Kluyveromyces lactis: one gene and its partner. The protein of the gene in region 2 interacts with the protein of the main gene of each other region in a biochemical or structural test. Links are inferred from orthologs where the notes say so. Each region holds a gene or a part of one and is shown on either strand. Other genes may lie near its edges. The genes, in order: UBC6 and SSM4.

Evidence for each region.
Region 1: the proteins of SSM4 (region 2) and UBC6 form a complex in vitro, tested with the Saccharomyces cerevisiae proteins (4 studies listed by BioGRID, with this or other methods). The link is inferred for Kluyveromyces lactis from reciprocal best matches to the Saccharomyces cerevisiae genes SSM4 and UBC6.

What each region holds. Positions count from the first base shown.
Region 1 is NC_006041.1:1,813,025-1,815,950, reverse strand, and holds UBC6 (E2 ubiquitin-conjugating protein UBC6), read right to left. Parts: upstream 1,334-2,926; coding exon 578-1,333; downstream 1-577. Other genes in the region: KLLA0_E20417g (uncharacterized protein), read left to right, coding at 1-255; KLLA0_E20373g (ribose-phosphate diphosphokinase), read left to right, coding at 2,003-2,926. UniProt on the Saccharomyces cerevisiae protein: Catalyzes the covalent attachment of ubiquitin to other proteins. Functions in degradation of misfolded or regulated proteins localized in the endoplasmic reticulum (ER) lumen or membrane via the ubiquitin-proteasome system.
Region 2 is NC_006042.1:2,565,995-2,570,262, reverse strand, and holds SSM4 (E3 ubiquitin-protein ligase SSM4), read left to right. Parts: upstream 1-1,201; coding exon 1,202-3,973; downstream 3,974-4,268. Other genes in the region: KLLA0_F27709g (uncharacterized protein), read left to right, coding at 1-693; SUMO protease ULP2, read right to left, coding at 4,107-4,268. UniProt on the Saccharomyces cerevisiae protein: E3 ubiquitin-protein ligase which accepts ubiquitin specifically from endoplasmic reticulum-associated UBC6 and UBC7 E2 ligases, and transfers it to substrates promoting their degradation.

The DNA of each region.
Region 1 (2,926 bases), on a different chromosome or scaffold from region 2:
GCAAGTTCTAATATTAGAAAGCTGTTCGGACAGGTGCTATGGTCTTTCGATTATCAAATGTTTTATTTTGATCCAAATGCCAAATTAGCGACAAATGAATGGCCAAAAAAATGTCATGAGCTAATAGAAAGTGAAGTTGTCAAGTTTATTCCTGTAGATAGGGTATATGATTGGAAAGAACATCAAAAGGCATTTTCCTATCTGCAGACAGGCCGTGCACATGGTAAAGTTGTTTTAAAGGTAGAGAAGTTTTGAACTTTAAGCTGCACTTATGAATATGTGCTAATATCTTGCGAAATGAATTTATGAAAAGATGTTGAACGACAAAAATGACCAATGATATGGCTACGGCTTATAATCATTGTGATATTTTTAATTTTGTATGTTTTTTTGTTCTAATTGTCTCTTATGAATTGACTATTTATATATTTTTTATGTAACGCCGTCTTAAATTGTTGAAATCTCAGGTGACGAGATCATATGAACCGCTGTTGTGGCCATAGTTGGAAACATAATATCAATAATACTATACTGTACAACACTTAGAGCCTAGAAGATGCTAACATATTTGATGAACTCATTTCATTATTAAACCGACGAAAAAAATCGCAATAGCCAAGATCAGACAAAGCAGCGATTTGATGTTGCTATTCTCGCCAGGATTTTTATCCTGATCTTTCTTATCCTTCTCGGCCTTTATAAGCTCTTGAATTCTTACTCGATCCTCAGGATCCGAAATGTCGTCTAGTGAAGTTGCTTTCTCCGTGGCTAGTTTCTGTGCTTTATTTTCCTCTTGTTGTGCTCCTTTGGATTCCGCTTCCAAAGCAGCCTCCCTCTCTATGTCCTTAATATTCGACTCTCTTAAATCAGGGAACATATTCTTGAATTTGAAATTGCTATAAGTATTAAAATGTTTCGATTTCTTAGCCAGAGTCCTTTTATCCTTATCAGAGGTTGACACCGACCCCGTTGTCTGTTCATCACCTGTCATGAAACTTAAAAGGCCATTCAATATAGTCACTACAGACCATGCTGGGTTCCACGCCTCTGGATGATAATCACTCATCGAAAGACATAGTCTAGTATTTTCCTTGAATCTGCCGTTAGGCGTAATCATGCGAATCGCCGGTGGATTAAATGGGTAGTCTGAAGGGAAAGTTAACGTTCCATGATATTGACCATTCTCATACGGAGTGCTAGGTGGACCGGTAATCACGTAATGCCATTCTAATATGTTATCTTCATGTGGTGCTGCAATAATGAATGGAGGAGGGTTGTTAACAATGTTCTTGTATTCCTTAGTCAACCTTTTGTTAGCCTGTATACTTGCCATCGTACCTTTTAACACGCAAATATGAGATACTGGGATGGTAACGAGCGATAGATTGGAACTTCAAAACAGGAAACACTTGTGTAAGTCTTTCGCAGCGGACAATATACTGTTCTTGACCTTCCTAGATCCTTCAACATTGCAATACAAAAGCATTCTTTCTCTCATTTTGGCAGAAGATACAAAAAACCTTAAAGTTAAATAAAAGTTTCTTAAATACATAAAAAATTCGATTCAAATGTCAGTGGATTCTCTATAAAAAGGGGAAAATCTGGGGTACTCACCACGAGGAAAAGCCTAACAGCTGAAAGTATTACGACCTAATTTACTATGTTCGCTGAAATGACAGTATTTGCTGCCAACTACTGCTGTCTAGTCTTTGTTTCTGCCAAATATCATTATGTCATGTCACCTTATAGTATTATGTACGGAATATCTAATGGAAGAATGAAAAGCTTTAAACAGAGTTTTTTATCATGAAAAGATACAAATTTGAATGAGTCGAAAATCACATCAAGAAAGTAATTAACTTGTAGATAAGGACCAAAGTCCGAAATAATCAACTATATCGTTTAGACAGTTGCTGTTGCCATATCCAATTTCCATATTTGGTTGCATCTGGTGCTCTGGTTTCGGTTTTTTGGAACGTAATATCTACCATATACATACTGTATGGAAACGAGTAAAAGAATGAGTACCAATAGCATCAAATTATTGGCTGGTAACTCTCATCCCGAGCTAGCTCAGAATATTGCTAGAACCCTTGGGTTGCGCTTGTCCAACATCGGAGTTTACCAGTACTCTAATCAGGAAACTTCTGTCACTATCGGGGAGAGTATACGTGATGAGGACGTGTACATTATTCAAACTGGTACAGGGGAGCAAGAGATTAACGATTTCTTGATGGAATTATTGATTATAATTCATGCATGCAGAACAGCTTCTGCTAGAAGAATCACTGCCGTGATTCCGAATTTTCCATATGCAAGACAGGATAAAAAGGATAAATCTCGTGCTCCAATCACAGCGAAATTAGTAGCACAGATGTTGGAAACTGCTGGATGTGATCACGTCATCACTATGGACCTACATGCTTCTCAAATTCAAGGTTTCTTCCATATTCCTGTGGATAATCTTTACGCCGAACCAAGTGTTCTAAAATATATTCAACATAAAACTGACATCGGTAATGCGATCCTTGTATCGCCTGATGCCGGCGGTGCTAAGAGAGTTGCTTCTCTGGCAGATAAGCTAGATTTGAACTTCGCGTTAATCCATAAGGAAAGACAAAAGGCTAACGAGGTTTCTCGTATGGTGCTTGTGGGTGATGTTACAGGGAAGTCATGTCTATTGATCGATGACATGGCTGATACATGTGGTACCTTGGTTAAGGCGTCAGATACACTATTAGAGCATGGTGCTAAGGAGGTATTGGCCATTGTCACTCATGGTATCTTCTCTGGATCTGCAGAACAGAAATTGAAGAATAGTAAACTATCAAGGATCGTGTGCACTAATACAGTTCCTGTCGACTTGGACGTTAATATTCTGGACCAAATTGATATCAGCCCTACCCTAGCGGAGGCGATCAGAAGA
Region 2 (4,268 bases):
CATGTCGATGTTACAAAACCTGGTGCAGGGATGGTATGTTCGATTTGTAATCATCCAATCGCGTTCCAAACTTTGTATGATGAATCAATGCCAGAGAAGATCCCACTTCTACTTCTTCTGAAACATAGCGTTTTCAAAATCTTTGGCAAATTAAATCACTATTTCAAATTCACATTGATTGCGTTCCTTTTCTTCATTGGAATTCCCCTGTCCTGGAATATCTGGGGGAAGCTATATACGGCTACTGTGGATGATTTTTCATTTCCTTCAAATAACAAATGGTATATCAATTTGATTTATGGCTTTGAAAGAAACATACCAAAAAATCCAACAACTACGGATATTTTATATCAACTAGTGATAAATTACAGATTTTCGTTGTTACAAATTCTGATGGTTTTGATCGTGCATGCTATCGCATATTTACAATATGATATGGTAGTCAGAGAGCCAATTTTCAATAAGATGATCTTGCATAAGATTGGACCAAGATTTTCAAAACAAGAGCTGGCCATGCAGTCATTAAGAGAAAGATTTCCAAATATGGATCCAAATGATATAAGCATGCTCATAAATGCCCTCAATAGACAACGACAAGACGATCCAAATGAAGATGATACTTCAGAAGACGAACAAGAACAGAACAATTTCATCGTAAACGAAAATAATGATGAGCCTCAGCTTGCCAACTAACTATAATCCCCCATTTAAATATTTACGATATTGATAATCTTCATATTGAAACATTGCATCAGCCTTCACTCCAGTTCGAAATAAACTTCTATATACAATATAATTCCCTCGTTGTCCCATCAAATCATTCACTTGCTTTAGTAAAACATGCTAGCCCATTAGATTCTCAAAGATGAATTTGGTATTACCCGGCTTATAATGGAAATTGAAATTTGAAGAAGGAAATTTCAACATGGGCGCAGACAATCAGTATATACATCGTCGACTGATCTCGTTTCACAACTAAGTACAACAGGTTAACAATATTTAATCTTTGCTACAATTGTATAGCTGTTGAAGTTGAATAATTATATCATAGAAACTGAATCTTCAACTTGAGTTTTCCGCATTAGATCCCTGCATTACTCTTTTCTTCTGATCACAATATCATATTTCTTCTGCAACATATTCATATCATTACCAATTAGCTGAGTTATTAATCGACTGTACTTTTAATTCACAATCCATTATGGAAAGACACTTTGCACAAAGAGAACTCGATGGGCGGTTGGATGCTCAACTCGGACGACCTCAGCCTGTTGAAGGAGAAGTACAAGAAGATGGAATAAATGCTCAACCAGCGGTTGTACTAGAGAATGAAGATGGTCAACCTACGGCTATCTTGAATTTAAATCTTGATTACAAATATTTACCGAGCTACTTTTCCTTAGTCTTTTCTGTCATTGGTGGATATCTTTTCATTTCATACGCTTTAGCCACACTTGTCGGATATCTGTTGAATTTCATTTATTTTAGAGTTGTGATTATAATGCTGAATGGAGTAATAGTGTCAGCAGAGAGGTTAAATATCCCAGAATACAATCAAAAGCTTATAGAAACTTTTTCTTTGGTATCCTACGTTGAAAATTGGATTAATGGGACAGTTTTAATGCCAATAGTATCGTACTATCAGGGATACATGAAAGGCACAGCAAAACATACGATGCTGGTACGAATGTTGGCGCCAGCCAGTACATATGCGACTTTCATAGTTCTTTGTTGCTGTATACCAGAACTGTTATCTAGAGGGCATTCCAAGAAGCTACCTCTAAAGAATTCTTTGAAAAGAACGATTTTCAAGTTTTCCTATATCATCAAGTGCACATTGAAAGTGCTAGGGTTGTTTACACTTGAACTTGCCGGATTTCCGATTTTAGCGGGGTTTTTGATTGATGTGTCACTGATCTCACCGCTATTATTACCACAGAGCAGCTTGACTTTCGTACCGAGTTTTTGTTCCTTTTGGCCGCCTATGACATTTATTATTTATTGGGCGATTGGTACTGTTTATATGTATCATTTTGCTCAATATGTCGGCATGGTAAGACAATATATTATCAGACCGGGTGTTCTTTTCTTCATAAGATCACCAGATGATCCTAATATTAAGCTATTACAGGATTCTTTGATATACCCAATGAAACTTCAACTCTCCAGACTTGCATTGTCGATGGCAATCTATACAGCATTCATTTTAGTAGGTTTTGGATTTCATACGAGACTTTTGTTTCCTTACATTTTACATTCGGAACTTTTACCTATGAAGCATGGATTGTCAACTCTCATAAAACCAAATTCTATGTTTTCTATTGCAGTCATTGCTGGAACGTATCTCATTCTCTCGAAGAATAGAGTTATTGATGCTTATGTTAGACAATATTGGGTCTTTGTATTCAATATATGCTGCAGAAAACTAAGACTTTCCTCTTTCATCTTAGGAAAAGATTCACCAACTGAGAGAGGACATGTTATTTATAGGAACTTTTACTATAAATGGTTCGTCCCAAACAAGGCAAAACTGTCCAACCTAGAATTATACTCTCATCCAAAATCGCTCGATGAAACCTATACTCTTTTCAAAACTATTCCTGATGTTCACGCATATTTTGTCCCCGATGGCACCATGATGCGCGTACCTGCGAGCGACATAATATCAAAAAAATATGCACAATTGTTGTTCGTCCCAGTTACTAAGGATGACAAACTTCTAAAGCCATTGGATATCGAAAAAATCAAAGAAAGACAGAAACGAAATGCCGGAGAATTTGGCTACCTAGAAAAACAGCCCACGGAATTTGATGAATATAAGGTAGTTTATGTCCCTCCGCATTTTACTTTCACTTATTCGCTGTTAATTGTCTTCATATGGATCTTTGCTTCCCTTTTGTTTACTGCTGTGTTATTAATCTCAAATTTTGCTGGGCTTCCCATTATCACTGGATTGCAATTATTGTTGAATGCGGTTATCCCCCCAGCAATGAAATTTCAAAATGAACTCTATGAAAGTGTAAAACCATTAAATCTTCTTTCCGTTTCTTCTGGTATGATACTTTTGTCTCTCGCTTTGTCATCCTACCACGCACATCTATTAAATAATATCCATCTAAATGACAGAATATTGGAGGTTAATGCCGAACACAATGGGGATGTTCCAAATAACGGTCCAAACGACGATAATCATCAGCATATAGTTCACAATGATGATAATATTCCCGAAAATGATGAAAATCCAGTAGCCAATGAATTTAGAGTACCGGAAATTGCTGAAGGTGATGTTTGGAACTTGATCAAAGGCTTTGTAACAATGGTGTATCCAGTCTTTACATTCTACTTTATGCCAATCATTTTCAAGTTGAATATCAATTATCATTCGGTCTTCATATTCACCTACTTCAAAGATTTCTACTGGAAAGGCGACGTTCTCGAAAACACAAGCCCTGATATATCGTTTGTTCCATTCCTTTCGAACCTCGCATCAAAATCAGAATACAGCGGCTATTCAGCTTACTCATTAATAGCTGCTCTATTGTTTTGTCAAGTAGCAGCAGTGGCGTACATCGCGGTACAGTGCAGTTTGAAGCGGAATAAAACATTAGGATTCAGAAGATTACTCATTAGGGTCACGGATATATGCTTTGTGTACCTCGTTGCAATGATTGCGGTACCTTTTGCTCTGCAATATAGTTTTTCTATGTTTGAATTCCTTACCCACAAACAAGTTTACACCTCTTCATGGGCACCATTTGTTTATTTCATTTTCATACAGCCTTCTGTCTCGGCAGATCATTCCCTTATGACTACATTTCAAAAGGCATTCTACTACGTTGATGTAGTGACGATTTCCTCGGCGTTCCTAACTGTGAGCTCAATTTTATCCAAGTCGCTTTACAATTCTTTATCTCAAAGTGTGAGAGACGAAGTGTATGCAAGAGGAAGGATACTAAAAAACTTTGAAGAATAGTTTGATCAGTCAAGATGTCTTTATAGATTTATTAGCGAAATTTTTTTATTCAATGAATTATTTTATCTAGTCTTACCATTAAAATTTATTACTTACGACTGGGAAGTAAAATGATGGAAAACAGGATATGTAGCTATTTAGATGCAAATTGATCGAAAAAGCTGGCTTTGGGTATTTTGGGATTTTTGCCGTAAGATTTATTTTCTTTATTGCTGAAGAGATGGACAATTTTCCTTTTGTTATCCTTTCTGTTGGAATGAACTTTCTCAAGAATAGGTTGTACTTCCACAATTTC